3 linked regions of the Arabidopsis thaliana genome follow. The protein of the gene in region 1 interacts with the protein of each later gene in a pairwise test. Each region holds a gene or a part of one and is shown on either strand. Other genes may lie near its edges.

Region 1 (7,476 bases):
GATATGGTAAAACACTCTTCTCTTCTCTCTGTTTTTTTTGTGGGTTTTTCTGAGATGTTCTTCTGTAGATTTCTATTTGGTTGAAACTTTTAGATTGTATAATGCAGGTACTACCCATTTCTTTCACCAGATTTTTACCAAAGTCTTTGCCTGAAACTGTAACTGTTAGAAGCATTTCTGGAAATATTTGGAAATTGGAGTTAAAGAAATGTTGTGGTGATGATGATACTGAGAAATTCGTTATGGTTAATGGGTGGAAGAGGATTGTGAAGGACGAAGATCTCAAGGGAGGAGATTTCTTAGAGTTTGAGTTTGATGGCTCTAGTTGTTTCCATTTCTGTATCTATGAGCATAGGACAATGTGTAAAAAGATAAGAAGAAGTTCAGATCAAAGCGAGGAGATCAAAGTGGAATCTGATAGTGATGAACAAAATCAGGCCAGTGATGATGTTTTATCTCTTGATGAGGATGATGACGATTCTGATTATAATTGTGGTGAAGACAATGATAGTGATGATTATGCTGATGAAGCTGCTGTCGAGAAAGATGATAATGATGCTGATGATGAAGATGTTGATAATGTTGCTGATGATGTTCCTGTTGAAGATGATGATTATGTTGAGGCTTTTGATTCTAGAGATCATGCTAAGGCTGATGATGATGATGAAGATGAAAGACAGTATCTGGATGATCGTGAGAACCCATCTTTTACTCTGATCCTTAATCCGAAGAAGAAAAGCCAACTGGTAAGTAAAAACTGAATGTGAAAGAGCTTTTCATTTAACATCGTTGGGTTGTGAGTTTTTATGATGTTTTTTTTCATAAAGCAGCTCATCCCAGCTCGGGTTATCAAAGACTATGACTTGCACTTCCCTGAGAGTATCACTCTTGTCGATCCACTTGTGAAAAAATTCGGGACATTGGAGAAGCAGATCAAGATTCAGACAAATGGTAGTGTGTTTGTCAAGGGATTTGGCAGTATCATCAGAAGGAATAAAGTGAAGACAACGGATAAGATGATATTTGAGATCAAGAAGACTGGTGATAATAACCTGGTTCAAACAATCAAGATTCACATTATCAGTGGATGATTATTTATATCTCTCTCTCTCTCTCTCTCTCTCCATCTCTCTGTCTTTAGTTACGTGTTTTGGAGTTAAATCAAGATTATTGTGGTGTATTGAATTAATGTAAGAGTTTTTAATTTCTAAAACTTATCAGATCTATACAAATTTATAGTCTCTCAAGTCTCAATAGCTTTCTTCATTCATACATATAGAATGCATTGTACTTTACGCTGTTCATATTAATATCAGAGACATTATAGTAAAATGGCAAATGGGTTTGGGTTCTGTTTTGGTATTATCCCTCAGTTTATGTTACAAATCAAAAGCAGAAAGATAAATCACACAATGACAATAAGTACAACAGATCTTGGGAGAATTCAGCGTCGTTTTGGCTGGCCTTCCAACTTATTCCAACCTCAGGGCTGTGTAGAACCTGCACGTTCACATACAAAGTATGTTATTACGTGTAGTATTGTAGGATCTTAGGAAAACTATTGCCTCAAATATGTGTTTGAGATTGACAGAGAAGCAGAAAACAGGAGGGTGATAATACTACACAACTTGGAACTCTTCCTTAGTCTTCTTCTATTCGCTAAGCATTCATCATACTTTTCATGTTTCCATCAAGATTCATATGAATACAAACATCTCAAACTCTTTTTCTTTAGTGGTCTTCTATCAAAATTTTTTTTTTTTTTCTTTTGGATTGTAAACGTAACGTATAACAGGAAGAGGAAACTACAGCTTGTGTGCTGAGCCAAACGATGAGTTGAATGTTGTTGTTTCCAAGAAAGTCTTACCTTGAGTTATGCGGAGGAAGGAGGAAGCTATGGTGGTGGTTGTGGGCGGTTCATGAGATTGTGTTGGTGCTGAGATATGTAATCAGATGGGTGGATAACATAGAGACCGGGCTGATTCAGATTGACGAAGGGCTGAGAAGGATGATGAATAGCTGTGGATGAAGGAGGGCGTGTAGCTGAGAGTGAGAATCCTGATGATGCTGCATTTGAAAACAGTGGCGGTGCTGTAGCTGCTACGGCGGTCCCACCACTGGACTGATCATGCCCTTGCCATGTCCTGGCTGGGAAGCTTTGATGAGAACGTAACATAAGCCCTTTCTCTGGTGTTCTTTCCTGGAGACAAGAATTTAACTTTTAGGACAGAAGATTATTCATTCAAATCTTCAAGAATATCACAACATAGAAGAAGAACTAACAAGCAACAACATAGACCTGTTCTCAAAGGATATCAAAGAGTTGAGCTCAAGTACTTAACTGATCAAATATCACAACAGTAACCACTTGATGAACATCTAGCTGAATTTCATATCACACAAATTACTCATAGGTAGGGTAAAGTTCGATAAATTTAAAATTGTCATTCTATTTCATATTGTATGTTAGTTCTGGACAGAAGGTAAAAATTGTGAGGCAGTGACAAACAGTTGGATATAACGAGATGTGTGCTATGGTATTTACTATTTACCATGGGTGAAAAGAACGCAGAAGGAAGGGCATGCCGGTTATTAAGATGGTCTGAACCCCTCTTCAAGAAATTGAAAGGCGTATCACATGCCGCTGCAGCCATGTGGTTCTCCATCTGTGAGTATATCAAATGAAGAGCAAGAAATTCATGAATAAATGAAAAAACATGAGGGCTCGAGCTAGCAAAGGAGACAGTATCTTTGAGTTCCAGATTGCTATGACATATCGACAAAGAAACATTTGACTAACAGTTGCAGCAAAACGCATATGAAAGTAAAGTAAATCATATTTGGTGCACTGAAGAAAAAATTGCACCATGGTGTTCCTTCCACATACGGAATTGTTAGGGACATGGTGAAGCCGGAGGGCCCTATCTTTTTGCTTCGGACCATCTCCTAGTGAAAGAGAGATTCCCAAGTTGAGGTCGAGCTTAACATTAGCTAAATAATAAGATCAGGAAAACAAGTTAGTCGTAGCTTTTCAAATATTGAGCAGAGATATCAATGATGACAGCAAAAGCTGCATAGCATCGACCAGTTTAACAAGCAAGGAACATCAATTACATTACCTGCCTCGGGAATCATTCGGGATGCATGAGGCTCAATTAAGGAAGCAGCTTCCCTTCCCTTCCATTGTACGGCTGCCTTGTCACAACCCCTAATTCCATAAGAATCTGAGCAATTAGTCATGAATTTTCCTAATAGATCAATAATTCAGGATAAAAGACTTCCTCATAATGTAATTTACAACCATCACTAGCGTACAGCTCATACTCAGATGACAATCATCCCAAGATAGATATAAATGTCTCATAGCCATCAAAATCTCTATATATAACTCATAATCACAAACGGGTCTTCCTGCTAATGGTTCTAACAGAAGCCCTTTTCAACTAACGAAAAATTACCAAACTCTTCATCTGAACCACTCCACTCTTTTTAGCAATGACTGACAACCACATTCAGACAAAAACACAAATAACATAGCATTTGTAAAAGCCCATACTTAGATCCCAGGAAAAGTTAATTACATGTTTCCATGAAGCTGCTCCATTTGAGCTCCCCACCCGCCAATCTTTTGCAAAGCAACTCCTTGATATCTAGAATTATTCCTTGAGAAACCAGAGCTCTGTCGCCGAAGTACTTGCACAACTTCCTCTTTGGAAAGATTCGCCATCTGTAAAGTTTGAAAACCAGATAAGAACAAATCAAAGCGTACATGTCTTCATTTGTACATCTGTAATCAAAACCTGCTTGAGATCCTCTTCATAATCGCCAATAACGAAATTGATGTCAGCTTCCAGACCCCGGAATTTGACAGCAGCTCGATCATACGCCCTACACCAACGAAAGTTGAACTTAGGAAACAATTGTATCATAACGAAAAAACAGTTGAGTGATCAATAAGATCAAACAAAAAAATATCATTTCCAAAGGCATTACCTAGCTGCAGCATGGGCAGTATCAAATCCACCTATTGAATTCAAAAGTTAAAGCTTTTATTAGAGAACTAAGATCCCAGCAGAAATCAGTTCACAGTAGTACAGCCATTAGAATCCATACCTAAATAAACTTGTTTACCGCAATCCCTGCAACCATGAAAATTGACAAAAAAGAAACTTGTAGATTAATACAAAATCTAAACCAAGCTCTTCCATTTTCGACCAAAGATCAACAACTCATCTAAGACCTATCTAAAAGATAAATCAATCAGTAGTAGATATACCAGATATGCGATTCCCATCTGCCTGTCCTCCGATAGAAAGTGACGCCTCTATACTGAGAACTCTTAGACCTAGGACCTCTCCTGCTTTTCTTCACCGGCTGTGATGGTGGCTGCATCACCCGTGAAGCATCGCCACCACCGCTCCCGCTACCTATAAAGTCTCCACCTTGTTTCCCCCTCTGGAAGGAAATATCAACGGTGCTCCTTGAACTTTGAGCGCTCGAATCCATAAAGTTCATGCCTTTAGCAACAGGAAAAAACTCCTTAGTCATCATCACAGCACTTCTTTCATCATCATCTTCTTCTTCTTCTTCTCCTCCTCCTTTCAGTATCTCAAATTGAAACTTGACCGTTCGTGTAGAGCACAACTCATCTTCACCATCTATACAGCTAGAAGCTTCAGCATTAACAACAGAAGAGTTCGACGTCACCGATTCATCCATCTGATTCAAAGAAACCCCTTTAACAGTAATCGAATCTCGTTCGTTCTGAGTAGACTCGGTCGAGTCGACGTCGAGATTGAGATCCAGCATCAATCTCAAAAAAGTCAACAAAAAAGCAAACAAAACTCTGAGCTTTCACAACAACAACAAAAACTATTTCTTCAAGCTCTTACTTACACATTGATCAATAAATTCAACGATCGCCGTCGATTTGAAATAAACAGAGCTCATAAATCACATTACATAGGTGAAAATCAGCACGAGTATGGAGAAATCAAACGGAGATTTAGATTCTGAAATCAATCAAAAACACGACGGAGGAGGAGAAGGAATAATAACCAAAGAGAAAGAAGGAAAAAGCTCAATCACTAAGGAGAGAAATGAGATTGAGGAGACATGGAGATGAAGAGTTGAGTATTGGTCTATGGGGATTTGAAGAGACAAAATAGCTATCGCCGGACGAAAGAGATAATCGTCGGCGATTAGAGAAAATAAAAAGAGAACGGGGAATGATGATGGGACGTAAGCCTGTGGGTTAGTGGCAACAAAGGAACATTTTAACATTTATTTATTCCTTCCATCTTTCTCGGCAATTTGATACCGGTTTTGCCTGTTTCCGGTTTGAAGTAAAAACGTGCTACTTGTTTTTGTTTTATTAGCTTGGTTTAAATTTATGATTAGTGCTTTTACAGTTTTACTATGATAAATTTACGGTTTAAACTGTATGTGTTAAGCTTTTCTGTGATTTCTTTACCAAGATAAGTTATTAAATACAGTATTAGTACTAAATAGATCTGTTAAGGCCTAGGGACAATGAGGTGCATTTTGTTCATGGAATGAGGATTTAATGGATGTGTTCATCTTGGTTAAATCAATTTGAAGCGTGTTCTTCGAAACATTTTGTAAACACATCTGAAAATCATCAAATTTAATTGGGGTTTCACTTTTTATCCTTGAACAAACTCAACTAAAGTGATTTAGTAATTCAAATTTATAGAATGAATCAAACGAAATTCGTTTTTGTATCCTATATAGTATATCTTATTATTAATCTGCAAACAAAGATTGGTAAAGAAAAGCGAATCTACACTATTATATTCACAACTTTGAAGACACATAAAAACCAAAAAACACTTTGAAGTCACATATTCATAGCTTTGAAGACAAAGCATTTGTTTTCATTTAATGGCGGGTCCTATATTTGCAGCTACGTCCTCCTCACAAACAAAAATCTGTAAAGACTTAAAAGAGTGAGATAGAATAATATGACTTTTTATTGATTTATATGGATAACAAGTATCCAACCAACGTAACAAATGTGTCACATGTAAAAAAAAATGTGTCACATGTTAGAAAAAGGTGTAGAAGCTAGCTATAATCAACAATTACATGCATAAAGTAACAAAAGTTATATCATTTTAAGAAGTTGTTATTATTACAAAAACGAATGTGTATGGAAAATAGTTAAAGATGATGGGGAAAAAAATCACTAACATCAGGTTTGATAGCTTTAGTTTTTCTTACTGGACATAGTGATGAAATTTTGTTTTAATTTCTAAGGTTTTGACACATTAATTACTATTGAAATTGAATGATGTATGTTATCTTCGCCTTGTTTGTAGCCAAGTTTTAGTAAGGCCTTGAATGAGTGTGGTTTTTAAACTAGTTTTTGGTTTTAATTTTTTCTAAAATCTATTTTGTAGCCATTCAAGATTTTGAGAAAACAAGTTTTCCTAAAATATAGGAAATCTAGTTTTTGAGTGTTTTAACAATTTTTCAAAGAAAACCAAAATCTATGTTTTGGGAGTTTCTCTCTCAAAAACAATCGATCACATTTTTTATTTTATTTTTAGATTTGTTTTGTAAAAAAAATACTATCCATTAACATAAAAACCAAAATCTAAACAAATTACCATTCAAGTTTTTTAAGAAACTAAAATCTACACCAAAAACAAAAACCAAGAAAATCAAAAACTAAAAACCAAAAACCAAAATCCAAAATCCAAAAACCATTTTAAAAACTACAAACATTCATGGCCTAAATAAAAATGAAGCATGTGTTTCCTAGTTCCTACAATATCACATTGTAAAAATCTATCAAGGCTAGAGAAAATTATCTCTGCATCAACTGTGTCTCAATTTTCTTTTAGATTTTCATTGAATGAATAGCTATAAGTAGAAAAAAAACACATATCCGATCAAACGTTGATAACACAAACATATTGTATCAAATCTTATGGTATCTTGTATTCATTAGTATTGTCTAAATCTCTAAGACTACTACATAGCTTGAGAGCAATGTGATACAAAGAGATCAACAAAGAAATGGATAGGTTTCCAAAATGGATAATTTCGAAAGTCTAAAACAAAATATATTTTGAGTACAAGAAGACATAGGAAAGAACAAAAGCCAATAAAGGGGGATTCTTTTACAATCAAAGGAAATTATTGTTTATTAAAAATAGAAATAAAATGTACGTAACAACGTATTATGTTCTTAACACAGGTTACGGGCGAAAAAATGAAAATGACCTAAAAATATCTATTCTTTGTGTCCATACGAATCTCTTTTTTCTTTGGAAATGTTTATTGAGTGGGGTAGGTCAAATGAACATTCCGACTGGTTTTAGCCGGTTGCCAAAACTTAAGAGTGTCAGAAAAATCTCGAAGATCATGGATTTTAACGAGTAGTATAAAGCCACGTGTACAACAGAGATTGAACCCCAGCCATTCAACTACTCTCTCAGCCATCTTAGG
Region 2 (6,189 bases), about 20 Mb from region 1:
GATGTGGGTGAGGGGAATACGACTTGTGACCAGAGAGACAATTTGTGGAAGAACTCAGACTCAGAATTAGTGTTGTTTATGTATGTATATAAAGAAGTTTTGAGAAAGGGAGCTTCATTTTGAAGGTAGTGTGCTTCTATTGTGTTGGGGATGTTTATAGTTCTTGGGTTTGGTATCTGCAGTATATTTGTGAACTGTGAAGTAGTTCGAGTTGCACATGAATGAAAACTAAAACATCTCAGTTGATTTGAGATTCTCCAAATTTGATTATTACTTTGTCCAAAACAAAGACTATTCTAAACTTACATGGATTCACAGGCTTAGATCCAGCACTAAAATTCGGCATGTGATACCTGGATATCAAAAAACAACATGAAGTTCCTGTCTCTTTCAAAAGAACAAAAGTTACAAAATGTTTAAAAAACATTACATCACACAAGAAGTCAGCACTTTTGTTTACCAGTCACCAACTCAACAAGCAATAACCAACAGAGATAAACAGAGAAGCTTTGAAGTTCTAATCACTATTGTAACCACCATCATCGTTATCCTTATCTTCGTGGTCCTTCACCACTCGTTCTATGAACTGTCTTCGAACTCCAGCCATCACAGCTTCCCTCGAGGAGTCATCGTCTCCTCCTTTGCCATCGTTAAGAACTGGCTCTGATTGACACAGAAGTAAGGCTACACCTGAAAAACCAAATCAGTTGCAAGTATGTTAGACATGTGCCTAAGACCAATCTGCTCAAAGCATGATACAATCGCCAATGTGGTCACATCAGGTCTCAGATCAGACAAAGGCTAGAGATGAGACATGACATAATCATCAAACACAAATAAGCACAGATTACATCAGACAAACAAGGGTTCATTCAAACTTACTCTCTGGGGTGCACCTACGGCCAAAGCTCTTTAAGCCTACATGAGTTCCTTTGATGGCGCCATGGTGGTACACCAGCAAGGTAGGAAGATTGCAATCAGGGTAGTTCGGAATACAATCAGTAGATATTATCTTAACGAACTTTGTTGCTGGGTATCTACTACCCAATTCGTCTAGACAACCCAATAGCAAACTACATTCTGCAACACTATCAGAGAACAACAAGAAATAAACATGAGTTAATAGTGTTTCAAGCATGTAGTAAAGAATGGCTCAACAAGAGTTCACGAATACTTGAAAAAACATACCCATCTTTATAGAGACATACAACAACCCAATCTTCAGCAGAAGCTTGCGTAACCTCCCTCACGAAATCAGAGCCCGAGATGGGAGTCACTGTTCCATATCTTTTAACTTTAGCAGCCTCTCTTAGCTCAGACAACCTCTTCTTCCTATGAAAGCATCAAAACACATTAGTGCCTGTGAATCATGAAGTGTGTTGCACAATTATGTTTAGCCTATTCATCAACATCTCAAATAAGATACTACCCTCAATTGCATTCATATCCAAAACACAAACGAATCGAGAAAAACCAGAGCTTGATAATTGCATTCCCTAGCTACATGGCAACAGATCCGAGAAAATTGAATTCACAATCCACCAAGGCAAGGATTCTCCAGGGAAAGTTAAGATTGTAAATACAAAAATCAGAATGTTCGATTCGATCTACGAACCTGTATTCTTCGAGAAAGCGATCATCGTCGAGATCTTTGTCGTCCTCAAGATCCTCAAGCTCCTCCTCTGTCTTCTTATCAAACCATGCCTGATCCTTAGGAGCTGAAGACTCGTCTTCCGCCGGAGTATACGCCGGAGGTTTGAAAGCCGGAGCCTTCTCCGGTAGATTCCCCAATTTCCGCTGGATATCATCCCATTGAGTTGACGCTCCTTCAATGTCCTTATACACGAAATGATAATCCGCCATCAAAGTATAACCACCTACGAAGCTTCAAAGAGAACCTTTGAATCTGAGAGGAGAAAAAGCAGATTGCTTTGACACTCTGTGATCGCAATCTCGTTCTTTCTCTGGAAAGACGAATGATAAAAGGCCATCCCCGAAATTGGTCTGGCTAAACCGACAATTACCATCTGGTACATTTCGAACCGGGAATATTTGGTTTAAAAGCCGGTTAGATATTGGTTTATTATTCTAGAGTAATGTATTAGACTCTTAACCGTTCGGAGGGTTCGTATATATATTATGAGAGCATGTATTTTTATGGAGAAGATCCAGAGATAATTAAACAAACAGTTTAGCAAAAGATTTTGAGAGGGAGAAAAAGGGCGATCGATTAGGGTTTTTGTGTTTTCGTCTTAGTATCGAAGATGATCGGAGCTGTGAACTCGGTGGAGGCTGTGATAACGTCAATCCAAGGTTTATCGGGGAGTCCAGAGGATTTATCTGCACTTCACGATCTTTTGAGAGGAGCTCAAGACTCGCTCCGAGCCGAACCAGGTGTTAATTTCTCTACTCTTGACCAGCTCGACGCCTCGAAGCACTCTCTCGGTTACCTGTATTTCCTGTGAGTTTTAACCTATTGGTAGATTAGGTTTTTGTTACTAGTTTGTGTATACTTTGAGGCTGATTGATGATTTTGGTTATTGGAACTTGATGTGTGTGATTAGGTCGAAGTTTAACAAGGAGAATTGTCTATGTTATTCGATTTCTGATCTTTGAGTTTTTTGTATGGTTTGATTGTTACAGTGAGGTTCTTACCTGTGGTCCAGTGTCGAAGGAGAAAGCTGCTTATGAGATACCGATAATTGCACGGTTCATCAATTCTTGTGATGCTGGGCAGATTCGTTTGGCGAGCTATAAATGTAATTTACTGACACTTAATGAGAGCTTATCTTGTCTTAATGTGTTTTCTTTTCTTTTTTCTTTGGGGAGATGGATGATGTTATTATATTGATTTTGCAGTTGTATCTCTTTGTAAGATATTGAAAGACCATGTTATAGCACTGGGAGATCCGTTGCGAGGAGTAGGGCCACTGTTAAACGCTGTTCAGAAGCTTCAGGTCTCCTCCAAGCGTTTGACTGCATTGCATCCAGATGTTCTTCAACTCTGTTTGCAGGCGAAATCGTACAAATCTGGTTTCTCCATTCTTAGTGATGATATCGTGGAGATTGACCAGCCAAGAGACTTTTTTCTCTATAGCTATTATGGGTAAGCAATTTTTCCTCATTGCTATCTGTTTTTTTCCTTTGATCAATAGATGTGTAAACACATTAAATCCATCCCTGTTGGGTTTGTTTTATAGTATTTTCTTATTCTGGTCCTTGATTACCTGGACTTTTGATAGGGGAATGATTTGTATTGGACTGAAGAGATTTCAGAAAGCATTAGAGCTTCTTTACAATGTAAGGCATTTTTATTTTTTCTTACGTGCTTTTTATACATTAAGGACTTTCGTTTTAGTTTTAACTCAACCTAAGTACTTGTATCAGGTTGTGACTGCTCCTATGCATCAAGTCAATGCCATAGCTCTTGAGGCGTACAAAAAGTACATATTGGTGTCTCTCATTCACAATGGGCAGGTAAGGCTGTGTTCTTTATATTTTACTTTCTTTGTTTATCTAGTTTTCGGTCATGGGAGCATATTGCACGAGTCTGAATCAACTGTATGTTTTTGAGAAATGTTGGTTTCACAATTACATCCTGTGTCTGATTTTAATTTCAAGCATTGGTTAATCTTATGATGTTTTTCTTATAATCTTGTTTGATTTTACTTGTGCAGTTTACTAACACTCTCCCCAAGTGTGCTTCTACAGCAGCACAGAGGAGCTTCAAGAACTATACCGGAGTAAGTTTGAACCCGATCATTAGTTGTATTTTTCATGTTTGAATGGAGTCTGGTCCCTTTTTCACTTCAGTCCAAAGATTTCAGTTGTTTTGTACTCCATACCAGCTAAATCTATTTTCAGGCTTATGATTTTATCGTTCACCCTTTTCTCAGCCTTACATTGAACTGGGTAATTGTTACAACGACGGGAAGATTGGTGAACTAGAGGCATTGGTTGTGGCCAGGAATGCAGAATTTGAAGAGGTAAATTGCCTCTAAACATTTACCATAGTTTCTGTACCAATATTAAATATTCATCCCCTTCCATAACTTGGGCGAAATGCTCTTTCAGGATAAGAACCTTGGATTAGTTAAGCAAGCAGTGTCATCCCTTTACAAGCGTAACATTCTGAGATTGACACAGAAGTACTTGACCCTGTCGCTTCAAGATATAGCCAACATGGTCCAACTTGGTAATGCTAAGGAGGCGGAAATGCATGTGCTTCAGATGGTATTGTGTCCCACACTTGATTTTTGGAAGCTAGCTTTATTAGTTTAACTGGTATGTTGGACAATATCATTTTTTTCTTTACAAACCTGCAGATCCAGGATGGTCAGATACATGCCCTTATCAACCAGAAAGACGGGATGGTCAGATTCTTGGAGGACCCTGAGCAGTACAAATCTAGTGAGATGATTGAGATCATGGATTCTGTTATACAAAGGTATGTCTACAGAACTAAGTGTTTTGATATGGTTTTTTTTTGGGAAACATTGCTTGAATGTTGAAACTCGTAATAAGGAGTGCATAATTAGCACTTGGAATCAAGTTGATATGGAGATGACTGTTTTGCCAAAGGAAAGTAGTAGCATCAAACAAGTTATGTGTTTTGATAAAAATTTCAGGACTATTGGTCTGTCGAAGAATCTCTTAGCCATGGATGAGAGCTTATCATGTGACCCTTTATACTTGGGAAAGGTAATTTAATACCATATTCCATTAGTCTTCTGTCCTGGAAACCCATGTTTCTCTGACTAAGCCGTTTGACTACTTTTTTTCAGGTAGGAAGGGAAAGACAAAGGTACGACTTTGGAGACGATTTCGATACTGTTCCTCAGAAGTTCTCCATGTAAACAGCGAAAGTCGAGAAGCACCAACAAAACTTGGCTCAAAGACAACCGTAGTGTGAATCTTGAGAATGTTACTTTTGATTTCTTTGTTCATTTTTGTTGGTTTAAAAAGTTTCATATTTTTGTCACAATTGCCAACAAGTAGAGAAGACCATTATGGACCCTCAAATCTTTTATTTCCCTTTTACTTAAAAAATTTTCCCCTTGCGCGTGTATCTCTCGTGCTAACTTACGCGAGCGTTTTATCATTTGCAAGGGTTAGAGAAGTCTCAACGGCGTCGTATCAAACTCGTTTTTAACTGCGTGTCGTTTGGGGAATCTGATAGACTCCTTGTTGTGGTGGGCTAGTTTCAGGCCCATTCTCGCTAAGCGCCACGTAGATTTTTATTTCTTTACTCATTTTTTATGTCGCATCTTCCCCATTTCGTTTTCAACCTGATTTCTCCATTTCCCTCTCTTATCCTCAATGAAAAAAATAATCTGAGAAAACGCAAAAGAAGAACGGAGCAAAATCCTCAGAATCGTCGCCGGAGAATCTTTACGTTTCGACATAATCGGAATTTTGGAATTGATAATTCCGATGGAAGGGGTTATCACATGTTTCCATACGAAATGCGTCTCTCTTCCAATTCGTTCTTTCCCACTTTCTAGGGTTTCTTCACTTCCTCGGTGGAGGAACAATAAATTGATCTCTTCATCGCGATCGGTTCATCTAAGAAGCTTGTGCGTTTCGAGCTCAGATACTTTAGTCGCGAGCGGTTCACCAAAGGAAGACGAGAGGCAGAGCAAAGTATCGAGCAAGAAGGAAGGAGATGACTCCGAGGATTTGAAGTTTTGGATGGATAAGAATGGGTTGCCACCTTGCAAGGTTATTCTCAAGGAGAGACCAGCTCATGATCAGAAGCATAAACCTATACATTATGTTGCTGCTAGTGAGGATCTTCAGGTGGTTGACTTAGCATTTCAACAGTTTTATTTGCTTATACACAGTTCCATAGGGTATTCCAAGTATCAATTTCCGGGTTTTGATGGTAAATTTTTCCTAATTACCTGTCTTTTACAGAAGGGTGATGTGGCGTTTTCAGTTCCTGATTCTCTGGTGGTTACTCTGGAAAGAGTTTTGGGAAACGAGACTATTGGTATGAGACATTCTCTATTATGTTTCCTATTCCATAAAGCTACTTCATCAGTTATGCACTATAATATTTGGATTAGACTTTGTGATTTCTCTTAGATAAGGGTGGGATTACGGGTGTTTTGATTCTTGTCTGAAGCCATATAAACTCTCTTTATCACACAGCTGAACTGTTGACGACGAACAAATTATCCGAACTGG
Region 3 (8,604 bases), on another chromosome or scaffold:
GATTTACGGTACAATCAACTTTCTGGGAGTATTCCACAATTTGTCAATACCGAGAGCATATATATTCTTTTAATGAAGGGAAACAACTTAACAGGATCTATGTCAAGGCAGCTCTGTGATTTGAGAAATATCAGACTTTTAGATCTTTCAGATAACAAGCTCAATGGCTTCATACCTTCATGTCTATATAATTTATCATTTGGACCAGAGGATACAAATTCATATGTAGGTACAGCCATAACGAAGATTACTCCGTTCAAGTTTTACGAATCCACATTTGTGGTAGAGGATTTTGTGGTAATATCCTCTAGTTTTCAAGAAATTGAAATCAAATTTTCAATGAAGCGAAGGTATGATTCTTATTTTGGAGCAACTGAATTCAACAATGACGTACTTGATTATATGTATGGAATGGACCTATCAAGCAATGAGTTAAGTGGGGTTATCCCAGCAGAGCTTGGAAGTCTCTCAAAGCTACGAGTCATGAATTTATCTTGCAACTTCTTGTCCAGTTCAATACCATCTAGCTTCTCCAATCTCAAGGATATTGAGAGCCTTGACCTTTCGCATAACATGTTACAAGGAAGTATTCCTCAACAACTAACCAACCTTTCTTCTCTTGTTGTCTTTGATGTGTCTTACAATAATTTATCCGGAATCATTCCCCAAGGAAGGCAGTTTAATACCTTTGACGAGAAAAGCTACTTGGGAAATCCTCTTCTTTGTGGACCACCGACCAATAGAAGTTGTGATGCTAAGAAGACCTCAGATGAATCAGAAAATGGAGGAGAAGAAGAAGATGATGAAGCTCCTGTTGATATGTTGGCCTTCTATTTTAGTAGTGCTTCGACTTATGTAACTACATTGATAGGCATTTTTATACTTATGTGCTTTGATTGTCCTTTGCGTCGAGCATGGCTCCGCATTGTCGATGCTTCCATCGCCTCAGTCAAAAGTATGTTGCCTTAAAATCATTTCACTTCAGTTTTTACGTACCATTGTGTTTCTATAACTATATTGCTTTGGATTTTACCTGACATGGTTAATAATAATGTGTGCTTTGGATTTTACCATACACGGTAATGAGTCGTATGGAAGAATTATTGTGTACGATCGATAGTTTTTTTTGACAGATTTATTCTTTTAGTGATAGAGAAAAAAGTAAGTAACAATTTTTTTTTAAGAGATATATATTTGGTAACGACAGAGCTGTTTCTTTCAATGGATTTATTTTTCATAGCGACATAGTTAATGTAACAAATTAATGACTAAAGTAGCACAACATTGACTCTAGACTTATTCTACGTCCTAGTAAATTTGTTAATTAATGGAATCAACTTTTAGAAATAGTTGTGACATAGTAAGTCCGTATTGGCTGTGATAGACTTGAGTCTGATTGAAATGGGAAAACGTTGATATGAAAGTGGTGACAAACTTAATATCACCAAACTAAATTACTAACTCTCTCATAACTATGAATATAACTGTCACAATTACAAGTATAACTCTATCATAACTCATAACTATATATGGTTAAATGAGTATGTAACTAACTATAGTTCACAAGGGTAATATATATAGTAAATTCTTGATTGCTAGATGCAGGAGGGTAAACTTGAACTTTGTTGTGGTATCTAGATACTTTCGGACAAATAACGTATAGGTGATGAAACAAAGTGCATATCTTATTGTACAGTTTTAGACTTTAATTTGGATAACCCTACTCATTGCCAAGGTTATTATCGTTTAGGGATATGATTTTGCAAAGATAATTCTCCCAATAGAAACTTAGGAACTTGCCGAGTTCTAAATTTCTAATGAAGAAAACCATATCTCATAAAATTTAAGAATTTGTGGCTTATTGTGTTAAGTTACTAAATCCTAGAGATGAATGCTTAGTTTGGTAATAAAAACCAAGAAAATCTCATTACGTCACTTTGAGACCACAACTAAACCCGTTTGAACAAAGTGGGTAAAGTAAATCCGGCCCAATAAAGCCCATTTATTTCCAAGAGAATAATAATTAGAAACCGGAGAGACTTCACGGATAGGGTAAAAAAGAACTCAGAGGTTAATCGGAAAAATAAATATTTGGGGTGAAGAGAAGCTTCTTCTGCTCAATCATGTCTAACAACTTTGGTGACAGCTAAAGAAAAACTAAGTTAGAAGAATATTTAGATAACCTTCAAGCTCGAGACCACTCGGATCTCTCTCTAATCGCCGATCGGAATCCGCCATGGGAGTACCGGCGTTCTACAGATGGCTCGCTGACCGATACCCGAAGTCAATTAGTGACGTCGTTGAAGAAGAACCTACCGATGGAGGTCGTGGTGACCTTATTCCTGTTGATATCACCAGACCTAACCCTAACGGCTTCGAATTTGATAATTTGTATCTCGATATGAATGGTATCATTCATCCTTGTTTCCATCCTGAAGGAAAGGTATGTTGTAGCTCAGAAATGTTTGGTTAGGGTTTGAGTTGATTTGTTGTATGAGAAATGAAATCAATGAGTTTAGTAGTTTGGTGGTGGAGAAGATTATTGTTGTCTGTATTCGTAGTTTAGTACAGTTATGAGAGAAGGAGAAGTATACTAGTTGTTGCTTTTCCTCGATTTTGCTTCCTGCACGTCAATGGAAGCGATGGCCAACTTGGTGATACTAGACGTAGGGTATCTAACTTTTCTGAAGTGTATGATTAGAGTTTGAGTTGATTGTATTAGGCAGTAACAAGTAGACATGGATCGTATGAGAAATGAAATCACTAAGTTTGGTATTTTGGTGAGAAGATGATTTTTTTTTGGTGTTCATAATTTAGCTCTTTTATTGGGGAAGGGAGGAGTGTACTAGTTGTTGCTTTCCGACTATTTTTGCTTACCGAAAGTCAATAGAAGCAATGGCCATTTTTGTGATACTAGATTTTGGGATCTAAAGTTCAGTTCAGAAAGTGATTTAGATATATTATTTGGGAAATTGGATGCTTATGGCTGTGTGTATTTTGTTCATGTATCACTTATGCGAGTCTAAAGTCAGTTTTTTTATAAAAATAGTTGACTAGAAAATTAAAAGACACTGATGTTATTAGTTTTTCATTATAGTTGAGGAGATATTATCGAAGGGAGTGAGTTTGCATAGCAATACGTGTTATGGTGATACTTGATTTCCATTAAAGATTTTACTAGCTAATCGTACTTTGATTACAATGCAGCCTGCACCTGCCACGTACGATGATGTATTTAAATCAATGTTTGAGTACATTGACCATCTTTTTACTTTAGTGCGTCCGAGGAAGATTCTTTATTTGGCTATAGGTGATCTTGTGTTTCCTTTTTATCATCTGTCTGTTTTGCTCTGTGAGATGTGGTTGATTAAATATACTGTTGCAGATGGAGTTGCGCCGAGAGCAAAGATGAATCAGCAGCGTTCTCGACGTTTCAGAGCTGCAAAGGACGCAGCAGAGGCTGTATGTTCTCTTTGTGTTTCTATTTTTACATTTACTCTTGGCTTTACATGGGTCACTGTTGCTTATACTATTTCTGGTTTAATAGGAAGCTGAGGAAGAGAGGTTGAGAAAAGATTTTGAGATGGAGGGCCAAATCTTGTCCGCTAAAGAGAAAGCTGAAACCTGTGATTCAAATGTCATTACTCCTGGGACCCCTTTTATGGCTATACTGTCAGTCGCTCTTCAGTATTACATCCAATCTAGGTTAAACCATAACCCTGGCTGGAGATATGTTAAGGTGTGATACTGTTTCATCTAACTTAGCAGCTATTTCCAAACTGTACAAGACTTTTCGCATTCTTGCAGTTTCTCTTTTTTTTTTGGTGTTGTCCCTTTACTTTTGGTTTTAAAGGTAATTTGTCTCCCTAAGAAGTCGTGGATTATTATTTGAAGGTAATTCTTTCTGATTCAAATGTTCCGGGAGAAGGAGAACACAAGATAATGTCATACATTCGTCTCCAACGTAATCTTCCTGGTTTTGATCCAAATACACGGCATTGTCTATATGGTCTGGTTAGTGTCAACCCATAATGTACTTGTTTTATTTTCTTAAATAAGGTGTTGGTGCTTCGTCCAAAAATTTGCACATTACATTTGCCAACTGTATATTATTATGCAGGATGCAGATTTGATAATGCTCTCCTTAGCTACACATGAAGTTCACTTTTCCATCTTAAGAGAGGTAGCTGATTTCCACCCCTACGCTCTATATTTTCTTTGATATTCAGTTGATCAAATGATGGGTCATCTTTTTGATTCCAGGTTATCACTTACCCTGGGCAGCAAGAGAAATGCTTTGTGTGTGGACAAACTGGCCACTTTGCTTCAGATTGCCCTGGAAAATCAGGTAGCAATAATGCAGCAGCTGATATTCCAATCCACAAGAAAAAATATCAGGTTTGTAGTTTTCCTTGTTATCTCCAAGAGATCTTGCTGCAGTGAACAACAGAAAATTATTTTATTTTACTTTTGGAGCTTTCTCTTATTTGTCTGATGTAATTTTTTTTTTGAAAATAGTTCCTGAACATTTGGGTGTTGCGAGAATATCTGCAATATGAATTGGCCATTCCAGATCCTCCTTTTATGATCAACTTTGAGAGAATAATAGACGACTTTGTATTCCTTTGCTTTTTTGTTGGTAATGACTTCCTACCTCATATGCCTACACTGGAAATTCGAGAGGTATGTACATGGTATAGCTTTTTATTCCTTAAAGGATTGGCTGTTCGTAAAGTGATGGTTGTGTAGATTAGAAAATATAGTAATAGCCTTGTGGAAGATAAATATCCTGTTTCATGCTCTACAATACCACTGAGGCACTGAAAAATTAGTCTGTTTCTTTAAACCAAGTTTCTTTGTTACTTCAGGGGGCTATAAACTTGCTGATGCATGTTTACAGAAAGGAGTTTACAGCTATGGGAGGCTATCTAACAGATTCTGGTGAGGTAAGTTATTGTTTCTTTTTTTAATCTTCTCCCACATTTCATTCTCGCTTGACATTGCTCAATACCCTATTTTGTATGAGCTGTAGAAATGGTCAGTTATCTTGTGGAAACTATTTTCTCGCTTCTATTTAGTCTGGCTATATGATTACTAATGAAAATCGGAACTGCATTATATCTGTGGGCTTCATTTCTTTTAATCGTTAACCCATTGACAACTTCTTTTTTTCTCCATTGATAGGTTTTACTAGATAGGGTAGAGCATTTCATTCAAGCTGTCGCTGTAAATGAAGATAAAATATTTCAGAAAAGAACGCGGATAAAACAGGTAATCTTAACCTTTACCCTATTTTCCTACACAACCCTTTGGAGGCTTTAGGAACTGTGCTCACACCCTTATGAGGCTAATGGTGTGTTGATGTTGGTATCAGTCAATGGATAACAATGAAGAAATGAAGCAAAGATCTAGAAGGGACCCATCTGAGGTACCACCTGAACCGATAGACGATAAGGTAAAATAGTTTACTGCAAAGAACTCTTATATGTGCCTGTGAGCTGGAGAGATTCTTATATATTTATTGAAAAGGAAATTAGTGTAGGAGGAACGACTAAAACTGCTCTTTCATTTTGGGTAGATTAAATTAGGAGAACCAGGCTACAAGGAGAGGTATTATGCTGAGAAATTTAGTACGACCAATCCAGAGGAAACTGAGCAAATCAAACAAGACATGGTGAGTTTTACGTCAATTAACGCTCTCTGTCACTCTTCTGAATCTCTAATGATTTGTTATAATAAGTCTAAAGTTGGAAAAAGGTATCTTTTGGCGATGTGCTACTTTGATTATGTGTGCATTTAGACTTTTTAACATCCTATTAACTCCCTCATGTTGAAAATTTCTGCCCACGGAATTTAGCTCTTAATATTTTCACAGTTCTTTTTTTTTCTTTTATGGAGGCTTATAGCGCGATATGAACTACTTCATTGAAGTGACTCTCAAAACAGTTTGGAATTGGATGAACAATAACTAGTTATCTATTCTGATCATTCATTACCTATTTTCGTTGTAGGTACTGAAATATGTTGAAGGTTTGTGCTGGGTTTGCCGGTACTACTACCAAGGTGTATGCTCTTGGCAATGGTAAGTCTGACTTTACAAAAACTTAATGTCATGTTATTCCCATGAGAGCCATGCATTCTAACAAAAACTTGGTCTCTTCTCGGGAAAGACCTTGATGTTGATGTCACTTACTGAGAAATACTAAGCTGCAAATTTTAAATGTAATTTTGTGTTTTCTTACACTTTCTTCTAATTGTTTCAGGTTTTACCCATACCATTATGCTCCATTTGCTTCAGATCTTAAGAATCTACCTGATTTAGAAATCACATTTTTTATTGGAGAGCCCTTTAAACCTTTTGACCAGTTAATGGGAACCCTGCCGGCTGCAAGGTTCTTCCCTTTTTTTGGAACCTTAATTATTAATATTGTGGGCCTCTATGGTGATGTAAATTGTGTTTCTTGGTTGTTGCAGCTCAAATGCGCTGCCTGGAGAATACCGGAAGTTGATGACTGATCCCTCATCCCCGATACTTAAATTTTACCCTGCTGGTAATTGTTGATACTGAATTTGTATTGTTGTTTTCCTATATATTCATGCTGGATAGTTGACACTCATAAGCTATCATTCTATTTATAGATTTTGAGCTTGACATGAATGGAAAGCGCTTCGCCTGGCAGGTTCATGGTTGTTTGTATTCTTTGGATATAGTATTGATGTTATCATGCTGAGACTGTGTATTTTGTTCTTCAGCTGTTGATGTTGTGTGTTTTGCGCTTGTTGTTATCTAGGGTATTGCAAAACTTCCTTTCATTGAGGAGAAATTATTGTTAGCTGCTACAAGGAAGCTTGAAGAAACTCTAACGGTTTGAACTGAACCTTGACTCGAAATGCATAATGTTTGATCAAAACTTTATTCTCTCCAAAGGAAACTATAATTCTTTCTGAAAGATGATTCTTGGACCTGCAGGATGGTTTATTTGCTAGTTATAAAGTAGTTTTATAGCTTAGATTGCTCTAGCCATCAGTTTTCATGGCAGTTTATGATTAACTACAATATGGATCCATCTTTCAGGTGGAAGAACAACAACGCAACAGTGTGATGCTTGATTTGTTATACGTACACCCCGCTCATCCACTGGGCCAGCGGATTCTGCAGTACTATCATTTCTACCAGCACATGCCACCACATGAATGTCTTCCATGGATGATTGACCCGAATTCTAGGTTTGTTTTTATTGGCTAAATTGATAACTAACAAGCTGTGTGTACTCTGGATATCGAGCTTGTTCTTAATCATCAATTCGTTTGTGTTTGTTGCAGCCAAGGAATGAACGGTTTTCTTTGGTTTAGTGAAAGGAATGGTTTCCAAACTAGAGTGGATTCCCCTGTCAATGGTTTGCCATGCATTGAGCAGAACCGAGCCTTGTGCGTTTCTTGTACTTCACAAGTTAGTGTTCATGAAATTGATGAAGTCTTGATTTACTCACTTATATTTTCCTCTACATTTTCCAGAAATGTTACATACCTGTGTCCTGCCAAACACTCTCATATCTCAGAACCACCCAGAGGAGCGATCATTCCGGACAAGGTATGATTCCTCAAAGGAATTCGTCATGAACAGTAGTCCATCTCTACTGCATCAAAATAAATAGAAACTTAGGTTTTTATAGCGTTTATGAGAATCTACTTGCTTGCATCTCAAATGTCTATGTTTTCTTACCAGTCTATTTATCTGCTGAATATTCATTGCAAAACAAGTGTTCTTATGAAAGTTCAATTGGCAGATCTTGACGTCAGTAGATATAAAGCCATTTCCTCCTTTATGGCATGAAGACAATAGCAACCGACGCCGACAAGCCCGAGATAGGTAAGGAGATTTTACTGCAGACTGATATTTTGAAGATCATAGTGTGAATTATGTTAAAAGAACCATATGGTATATCTATTGTGCAGGCCGCAAGTGGTTGGAGCTATAGCAGGGCCTTCTCTGGGAGAAGCAGCTCATCGTCTGATCAAAAACACCCTTAACATGAAATCCTCTACTGGTGCGGCTTCGGGATTAATTGACCCAAACGGATACTACCGAAATGTACCGGGTAATTATTCTTATGGTGGAGTCAATAGACCAAGAGCACCGGGTCCGTCTCCTTACCGGAAAGCTTATGACGATGACTCGAGCTATTACTATGGAAAGTATAACAATAGCACACAGGGAACGTTTAACAATGGTCCAAGATATCCTTATCCATCAAATGGGTCACAAGACTATAACCGGAACTACAACTCCAAGATAGTAGCAGAACAGCACAACCGTGGTGGACTTGGAGCTGGAATGTCTGGTTTATCGATAGAAGATAACGGCAGAAGCAAACAATTGTATTCAAGTTATACAGAAGCTGCTAATGCAAATTTGAACCCGTTGCCATCACCCCCCACCCAATGGATCGGTACACAGCCAGGTGGTAATTTTGTCGGTGGATACTATAGGGATGGAGTTGGGTACAGTGAAACAAATGGAAAATCGGTAAAGAAAGTAATTTACCAGGCCAAGACACAACCAAGTCATCGAGGTGCAAACTTGTGAGATATTAGTTGAGGCGC

What was found.
Region 2: the proteins of TOE2 (region 1) and COP13 interact in binary tests that used the Arabidopsis thaliana proteins (3 or more experiments, as listed by UniProt).
Region 3: the proteins of TOE2 (region 1) and XRN4 interact in binary tests that used the Arabidopsis thaliana proteins (3 or more experiments, as listed by UniProt).

What each region holds. Positions count from the first base shown.
Region 1 is NC_003076.8:24,205,486-24,212,961, reverse strand, and holds TOE2 (target of early activation tagged (EAT) 2), read right to left. Parts: upstream 5,274-7,476; 5' UTR 4,810-5,273; coding exon 4,277-4,809; intron 4,140-4,276; coding exon 4,114-4,139; intron 4,025-4,113; coding exon 3,994-4,024; intron 3,889-3,993; coding exon 3,801-3,888; intron 3,728-3,800; coding exon 3,582-3,727; intron 3,209-3,581; coding exon 3,120-3,208; intron 2,992-3,119; coding exon 2,801-2,991; coding exon of another isoform or gene 2,678-2,800; exon of another isoform or gene 2,667-2,677; coding exon 2,553-2,666; intron 2,384-2,552; exon of another isoform or gene 2,201-2,383; coding exon 1,895-2,200; 3' UTR 1,868-1,894; exon of another isoform or gene 1,501-1,867; 3' UTR 1,219-1,500; downstream 1-1,218. Other genes in the region: AT5G60130 (AP2/B3-like transcriptional factor family protein), read left to right, coding at 1-6, 108-746, 831-1,091.
Region 2 is NC_003076.8:4,595,706-4,601,894, forward strand, and holds COP13 (Proteasome component (PCI) domain protein), read left to right. Parts: upstream 1-2,162; 5' UTR 2,163-2,264; coding exon 2,265-2,461; intron 2,462-2,643; coding exon 2,644-2,759; intron 2,760-2,859; coding exon 2,860-3,106; intron 3,107-3,242; coding exon 3,243-3,300; intron 3,301-3,387; coding exon 3,388-3,477; intron 3,478-3,677; coding exon 3,678-3,743; intron 3,744-3,896; coding exon 3,897-3,986; intron 3,987-4,074; coding exon 4,075-4,233; coding exon of another isoform or gene 4,234-4,281; exon of another isoform or gene 4,282-4,325; coding exon 4,326-4,447; intron 4,448-4,628; coding exon 4,629-4,701; intron 4,702-4,784; coding exon 4,785-4,856; 3' UTR 4,857-5,130; downstream 5,131-6,189. Other genes in the region: AT5G14230 (ankyrin), read left to right, coding at 1-70; AT5G14240 (Thioredoxin superfamily protein), read right to left, coding at 518-690, 883-1,088, 1,189-1,332, 1,616-1,863; AT5G14260 (Rubisco methyltransferase family protein), read left to right, coding at 5,434-5,799, 5,917-5,992, 6,154-6,189. UniProt on the Arabidopsis thaliana protein: Component of the COP9 signalosome complex (CSN), a complex involved in various cellular and developmental processes such as photomorphogenesis and auxin and jasmonate responses.
Region 3 is NC_003070.9:20,348,064-20,356,667, forward strand, and holds the start of XRN4 (exoribonuclease 4), read left to right. Parts: upstream 1-2,045; 5' UTR 2,046-2,236; coding exon 2,237-2,443; exon of another isoform or gene 2,444-2,633; coding exon of another isoform or gene 2,634-2,666; intron 2,667-3,207; coding exon 3,208-3,310; intron 3,311-3,385; coding exon 3,386-3,462; intron 3,463-3,547; coding exon 3,548-3,739; intron 3,740-3,894; coding exon 3,895-4,014; intron 4,015-4,120; coding exon 4,121-4,183; intron 4,184-4,263; coding exon 4,264-4,398; intron 4,399-4,518; coding exon 4,519-4,683; intron 4,684-4,868; coding exon 4,869-4,946; intron 4,947-5,184; coding exon 5,185-5,271; intron 5,272-5,374; coding exon 5,375-5,455; intron 5,456-5,578; coding exon 5,579-5,674; intron 5,675-6,011; coding exon 6,012-6,082; intron 6,083-6,263; coding exon 6,264-6,392; intron 6,393-6,474; coding exon 6,475-6,551; intron 6,552-6,639; coding exon 6,640-6,680; intron 6,681-6,791; coding exon 6,792-6,866; intron 6,867-7,075; coding exon 7,076-7,227; intron 7,228-7,323; and 8 more. Other genes in the region: AT1G54475 (LRR receptor-like Serine/Threonine-kinase), read left to right, coding at 340-969.